Canis lupus familiaris: one gene and its partner. The protein of the gene in region 2 interacts with the protein of the main gene of each other region in a biochemical or structural test. Links are inferred from orthologs where the notes say so. Each region holds a gene or a part of one and is shown on either strand. Other genes may lie near its edges. The genes, in order: UBE2V1 and PELI1.

What was found.
Region 1: the proteins of PELI1 (region 2) and UBE2V1 form a complex in vitro, tested with the Homo sapiens proteins (3 studies listed by BioGRID). The link is inferred for Canis lupus familiaris from reciprocal best matches to the Homo sapiens genes PELI1 and UBE2V1.

Annotation. Positions count from the first base shown.
Region 1 is NC_049245.1:37,194,568-37,198,388, forward strand, and holds the end of UBE2V1 (ubiquitin-conjugating enzyme E2 variant 1), read right to left. Parts: intron 3,206-3,821; coding exon 3,080-3,205; intron 1,832-3,079; coding exon 1,685-1,831; 3' UTR 24-1,684; downstream 1-23. UniProt on the Homo sapiens protein: Has no ubiquitin ligase activity on its own. The UBE2V1-UBE2N heterodimer catalyzes the synthesis of non-canonical poly-ubiquitin chains that are linked through Lys-63.
Region 2 is NC_049231.1:65,022,950-65,026,770, forward strand, and holds part of PELI1 (E3 ubiquitin-protein ligase pellino homolog 1), read right to left. Parts: exon of another isoform or gene 3,356-3,821; intron 347-3,355; coding exon 149-346; intron 51-148; coding exon 1-50. UniProt on the Homo sapiens protein: E3 ubiquitin ligase catalyzing the covalent attachment of ubiquitin moieties onto substrate proteins. Involved in the TLR and IL-1 signaling pathways via interaction with the complex containing IRAK kinases and TRAF6.

The DNA of each region.
Region 1 (3,821 bases), on a different chromosome or scaffold from region 2:
CGGAAGAAGGGCACAGCTTCTTAAATATTAACGCACACTTTCTTTTTTATTATATTAAAATCAGGCAATGGTCTGACAATAAAAAGGCTGCTTATGGAATACTGTTATGTTCAACTTTACTTACAGGATGTTAAATCCTTAGAACTAAGGTATCCCCCAGAAAAAGATTAATGGAAACATCGATTGCTTTTCAGACTTGATAGTTGCTGCTTCAAAAGGTGGTTTTATACAAACACTAAATTAAAAAAAAAAATCTTTAGAACACAATGAATCGCTTTTATTTCGGTATGCATCCACATCTCAGCATTTAGTGGTCCTGAACAGAAAAGTGGAAAAACGCAGCAATTTGCCAGGAAGTCAAGCCCGCCAATTTCGGGGATCTGCTGTGCACACTGAGTTCTTTCTCGATCCCTGCTGAGGACCATGAGACGCAGCAGCACCAAAACCAAAGTATGCACCGAATCCAAGGTTCTTTTCGTTCCAGTTGTCAGATTCCAAACTAGACCCAAATGGATTGTAAGATGACCACATGAGAACCCTGTTTAAAACTTCTTCAATTGTTAAAAGCAAAAGCAATTATAGGAAAAGAAAACAATTCATTCAGAGGGATCGTGTGTGCTTACAAGTGTCTTCTGTGGCCTTTCTCCAAGTTTTACCACCAAGCACTTTGAGAGCTGGCAGGTCTGAATACCCCTGGTGACTGTTCTTTTCACTTTATCAAAACCTGAGCTAAAAAACGGCATCAGCTGATGATGACAGCAGAGGGTGGCAGGGCTGAGGACCCAATATTCATTCCCAGGCTGGTGGAGAGTGAGTAAATGTGGTTCCAAACTAAACGAGGGAAGTCAGAGACTCTTTCCAACCTTACCTGATGGCTTCTGGCCAAAGCAAGGAAGTATTGGGTTGTGATGGTGCAAAAAGGGACTTGAGGAGGAAGGAAAAAGCAGCACCCCTCGATTAAGGTGGGGGAGAAGATATGGGGAAAGCCCTGAATTCCTCACCAAAGGCCAATTTCAGAGGGGAGCAGAGGGGGTTACAATCTATGCTTCGGCCGAGGGTGGTCATGGGAAGAGAAAGGATGATGGCTTGGAGGGGGGAGGGCATCATTTAAGACTTAAAAAAGGAAACCAGGGGTGCAGCTGGAGCACCCCTGCACACCCAGCAGTAGTCCCACAGGCTGCGACCTGAAACCTTCACGCCTATTCTAGCAAGCCACCCCAAGCTGGAGGGCTGTTGCAGGGACAGAGGGGTGGGTGGAGGGAGGGAGGGAGGGAGGGAGGGAGGGAGGGAGCCAGCAGGAGGAGAAGGGGAGAAGGCAGAGACCCCAGGCCATGTAATCAGCAGCAAGGTGATTGTGTGATGTGTCTTTTCACAGTTGAGTTAGATGTGCCCCACCGGTTATGATGGGAATCAATTTAAATATACTTTCTTGATCCCAGAAGTTCAACTATGTGGACAGTGGTTACACTTGACAGGATGATTTGTTATAGCACAACTTATATATTTCAAATGGACAAAAAATTAGTATCGTTTACAGTATCTTAAGATAAATTGCCTTTGAATGGGAGCTTCCTTTCCAGTACTTTTGAGGTCTACAAGACGTATCTAGAAAATGTACTACTGTGGAAAATGACTGCTTAAATCGAATGGGGGGGGAGAGGGGGCCTGTGGTTTCTCTTTTTGATTAATTGCTGTAACACTGTCCTTCGGGTGGCTGAGGGAGTTTCATGTTTTCTTTAGACATCATTAGGCGCCGGAGCTCTTGCAGGACAACTTTGATGCTATATGAATTCTGCCATTTTGCTAGCACGGATATGGCTCTTGGGTCCACCTACAGAAAGGCAAACAAAAAAACTGTCAGGCTCTCCAACAAATGAATCACTATATGCTGGAGTAAAACTGCAGATAGGAGTAAAGTGCATTTCTCAAGTGGAACATGCCCATCACACCACCATATCTGACATGTAGAATTACCTGCATGACTCCCTCCCTCTGGGCAGTCTGTTTTTTCCTGTTTGTGTCCGAACCCTCACTGTTTAGGAGAAGGAAACTATGGATATGTAAAGCTACCTTCAGAGAAATGGCCCTGACACTTAGCAAGACTCCACCCAGCTGGCTCTAGAACAGTGACCTGCTCTCCTGGATGCACTGGCTGCTGCCTCTGCTCAAGGCTGTCCTTTCTTGGCTCTACACCCAGGTGGTAGATGATAACAATGTTCAGTGCAGTAAGGAGCAAAGGCAACTGGTGGCCCAAATCCACACTCTGGTGACAAGGCCCTGCCTCTGAGTCACATTCTCTCATGTTAGTACCGTAATTCCCAAAAGAAATTTCCCAAAGTGTGAGTTGAGTTTTGGGTTCAGGACTTTGGTGGAGCTCAGATACAACATTAAACACTGAACACACAGCAACAAGCCCATATCTTTTCGCTTTTCTTTCAAGTCTTCTGAGTGTCTCAAAACAAAGGCTTAACTCACATAATGCTAACACGTAAAACCCTTCAACACTTGCTGATCTCCCCTTTGAGCAGGTCTCAAAGGCTCAAAGCCTTTGGCAAGAAACATGGGGCATTTATTAATGTCACTTTGATTCTGTAGTATTTACTGTTGCCATTACTGCCTTCTATGACAAGAGAGGCTGGTTTTCCATTTATGGTAGTAAAAATGAATGTGAAAAAGCAAGCCATTAAAGGGGAAAAAAATAGCATGTCCTGTAAATAAGGCTCAGGAAGTACAATTATGACCCCGGATAGGACTTTGCAGCTCCAAGCCTCAGGCTCCTCATCTTTACCTCATGAGGGTGTATCATGAAGACAGAATGAGCTCCTATCTCAAAGCAAGCAGCACAGTGTTGGCCCAGAGTAAGTGTCACACGAATGATGATTTAAACACAGCTGAGGAATAGGCCCTTACACCAAGTCTGCATATGTTCATACTGCAATATATTTCATCATCAAATCACCAAGATCATCAAGATTATCAAATCACCAATATAGAATTAGGGCCACAGTGCTCCTGGTGTTTGAGTACAAAAAGCATCTCTCAACCCAAAGGAACAATATGGGCAGGAAAAACAACTTACCACTCCATTAGAACTATTAACTCCATTCATATTAATTTTTGTTACAAATCTTACAAAGGGGGGTGCTTCTGGGTATTTAGGTCCACATTCTATTTTAAGGCTGTATATTCGGTTTTCATAAATTGTCTGGAAAAAAAAGGTACAGAGATGTCAGGCAATTACACACCATGAACTCAAAAAGGCAGATCTTTTGAAACCCCATTTATTCCTGCCTGCAGAACTGGTGTATCTACTTCCTATATTTATACATAGTCTACTTGTTATTTGTTAAATTAGTAGTAACTTGTCCCCACACTAGTGTATATCAATTCTGGTCTTGGGGGAATAAAAAGGCAGAAAATTTAAAATAGTATCACTGAAGTTTCAAGTTAGTGTTATTTAAATCCAATCAGATGGACTTGTTTTTATATTAATTTCTCTACTTTGCAGACCTGTCCTGTGCTCTGGGCAATGGTGTGTAATAGGCATTCTTTACTCTGGAAAGCCACATTAAAGGTCTACTCACAGCAGGGTCATCAGCCAATGCAGTAAATACCACCATGTGCAAAGCACTGAAAAGGTGCTTTGAGAACTTTGAGAACTTCAAAATTAAACAAAAGTTAGTGGGTGTGGGTGCGGATACAAGAACTGTTTTCCCATTTCCTCATCACTTTGGGGTGGTGGGCAACATCATCTCTCCCTGCAAACTTTTCATCAATCTGAGAGACTACAGGTATTTAGTGGGTGAGGTGGGGAGCCGAGG
Region 2 (3,821 bases):
GTTAAACCATCCATCTGCCCATCTGACGTCTTCCATTTGGCAGCCTTCTCCTAGTAGCAATTAGAATAGTGAGCTTCCATTTCTTTTTGTAATTTGGAAACAGAAGTGGTTATAATATAATGCATCATTTAGGAAAAAAGCTTTTTACCCCAAGAAAGATGTTTTTTGATGAGTCAAATCCTGCAGCATAAATCCGTGCTGTAAAGGGGGGATTCCGTTCACATATGATTCTACAGGCAAATCTTGATATAGTGCTTTGCACTGACTGTGTATCAGAATTACTTTGGCTTCCAGGAACTGTGTCAGTTACTACAAAATCAATGGGACTTTCAGTCGACCGACCAATCTAAAGGAAAAAAGAAATGTCTATAAACCTACTGGAAGGAACACAATGGAAAAATCCATTCAAGAAAGATACAAAAAGGTGAAATCAGTAAGCCTCTGAAATTTCTAGAGCTCAAACTTATACTTAACTCTGAGAGCATCTACACCCTGGAAACCTAATCTGTCATACTTGTTCTGACATGATAATCATTTAGAGCATAGAAGTAAGTGGGAACTTACCATCCAGAATATATAAAACCCTCAGGGAATGCAGAGTTTAGCATGGCTGAGATTTCTAGATGGCTGGAAACTTTAATTTTAACCCCTTTGGAGGGAAATATGCCTAACATGTATTACTCTACCTTCTTCAACAGAATATAGTGAACACACAAGTAAATCTTTTATGATGACTCCAAGACATTGAACTATAAATACCATTTATATTATACTGAATGCAGTGATGTTTCAGGTGCTATAAAGGTGTACAAGAATGCTGATCCTTACATTATGGGCTTATATAGCTTTGCTTTGAGGCCTTATGCATACTTTATAGATATTTTTGTGTGTTTTCTGTCAAGTTGTCAACTCCCATTTCTTGCTATTAGGCATATTTGGTTCTAGCAGCATACCCCTCCTCTAATCAGCCACTATTATTCTGCTAGGGTTGAGGAAAAAAAAAAAAACAAAAACAGACTTCAAAGAATAGTATTTCAAAAGGTTCTTGGTAAGATCTTAAAGGATTCTCCAGGGAGCAAAGAAAAGGAATTTTAGTACATGGCTTATGTGGCCTTTATTTTATATACCTGGATGTCCTTTTTATTTTCTTCCTGTTTCTTGGCCATTATTTTAGAGAGACAAGGTTCCCAGATAAGAGTTTTGATATATGGGTCAGTAAATTAAAACATCTTCAGAGGTACCACTAGCAAATAAACTAATTTTCATTTTGAAAGATGAAAGTTGAGAAGAAAAAAAGAAATAGATGACAGAACTGATTGTCTTGGGGTTTTATTTTATTTTATTTTTTAAAGATTTTACTTATTTATTCATGAGAGACACACACACACACAGAGAAGCAGAGACACAGGCAGAGGGAGAAGCAGGCTCCATGCAGGGAGCCTGATGTGGGACTGGATCCTGGGTCTCCAGGATCACACCCTGGGCTGAAGGCGCCACTATACCGCTGAACCACCTGGGCTGCCCTGTCTCGGGGTTTTAAAGTAAACATTTAAAAATGAAAGAAAAAAGGAAATCTGGAATAGAGGAGAGTGTCACAGGGTTTTAAAGTAAACATTTAAAACTGAGTTCATTCATATATTTGTTATCAAGTAATATAAAACTGAAGTAGATATTTAGAAAAAAACACTGACCCTCTACAAAGATGATGACACTTCAAAGACATTCTTTGCATAGCTGAGTCTTAAGAATTCCTCATTACCACACACTTTTGGAGAAAATCCTTTTAGCATTTTTGTCCTATCATCAAGCATGTCTTTCTTATTTGGATGGTTTTAGAAGAAAACTGGTTAGTTAACAAACTTAAGACTGCATGTCCCTTTTCCTGCTTTTTAGATAACATTTAAAGAAAATGGTCTCAGAAACTTTTGAAACTAAAAATATTTCTAAAAATAAAAGGTTCTTTTAGATCCAAAAAATGCAGGCCCAGGAATGGATTGAGGATTGATATTTAGAATCAAGATATTCAGAAGTGGCACTCAATTGGGAGGGGAGATTGTTCCAGAAGAGCTGATACTTGAGCTGAGTCTTAGAGATTTAAGATATCAAAGCAATATTGGTTAAGATAGGTCAGAAGGAAGAAACCTTAAGTATCCATGAAGAGAAAAAGCCTATGTGATCATGATCAAAGTGCCAAAATGTAACTGTGTTAAGATAAATTTTAACAATTCTTCCTCTAACTGCTACAATTAGCTTTAAAAATATAGAGCTCATGTCATTCCCTCCCACTCTCATTAAAAACCCTAATGGTTCCTTCCTCACAGACTATCCAAACTTCTTAGTTTCTTATTTCTATAATAATTAGAAATTGACTTCACAATTTGCTTCCTACCGATCCAGCTTAGTTTCCTATCATTGCCATTCATATGAAAAGTATATTCTAGCCCCAAGCAGCCCGTAAATCTTCTACTACACCACTGTGTACTTTGTGATCTCTTTTGTCAGAATGCCTCTCTACTGGCTAGACTGACAAAATCATACTCACTTGGATGACAAAAAAAAAAAAAAGTCTGGATAAAAAGTCACTACTGTGACATCTTCCCTCCTCTTCAACCCAATCAGAAACTTGTACTTCACATTTAGATTGCCAGTATAACACCTATGAATATAACCAAATTATAATGTCTCCTTTATTTACTTCATAGTGTCAACCAAATGCAGAGAGTTGGAGTTTAAATAGCTAATGAATTACAATAAATGTTCTTGTTCAGTTTGGAAGGAAGGCAGGCAATCCCAGAATGATTATAAAATCAGTTCCTCAGAGACTGGCTAATTTATCAGGGTAGTTTCCGATATATCTCCAATTTTTTGATGTAGAAATGTTTGGATTTTCCATCAGTGTAATGCTTTGTAGAAGGAGTATCATGACTACAATTTAGAAAAAACTCTCCTTTATGAAAAGGAAAAAACTGAAAATGCTGCAACTTATCTAAGGAACCCTCATAAGATAGTAAAGACACTGTTCTATAATTCAGAATGCCTGCTTTTTTTTAAAGATTTTATTTATTTATTTATTCATGAGAGACAGAGAGAGAGAGAGAGAGAGAGAGAGGCAGAGACAAGGCAGAGGGAGAAGCAGGCTCCATGCAGGGAGCCCGATGCGGTACTTGATCCTGGGACTCCAGGATAATGCCCTGGGCTGAAGGCAGACGCTAAATTGCTGAGCCACCCAGGGATCCCCAAGAATGCCTGTTTTTGTTTTTTTTTTGAAAAGTTAAAAATTCCTTAATTTTTTATTCCTGGTACCACTACCACAATTTACAGGGCAATATACCTGATGTAATGAAAAGAAAAAGAAAAAGAAAAAGACAAAGCTACAACAGATAAAAGACCTCAGGAATGTACATCTAATTGACACTACATTGCATTAATCAATAGCTGCACTTTTTGCAAACTGTGGCTATGACGGTCCTGAACAAGAAGGGTTTCCTGTTTAAGCTGCAGTAACTTTTCTGACTATGGATCATCGTTCCTCCTGTGGCAGATTTTTACAGTTCCTCTAATGCATTTGGGACGACTGTCTCAAAGTAACCTGCAGCTTTCCTGACAACTCCTCGCTCTCTCTCCTGCTAAGAACTGTAGCCCTTTTCTTCTGAAATTTTTTTAGAACCTTCTGCTACCATATCCACCACTTCTACCACCAGATCCATAACCACCACCATAGGGACTGCCCGAGCTTCTTCCACCAAAACTGCCCCCTTTCATGGGTCCATAATTTGATTGCTGTTGTCCACTATAATTTCCAAAATCATTATAGTTCCCAC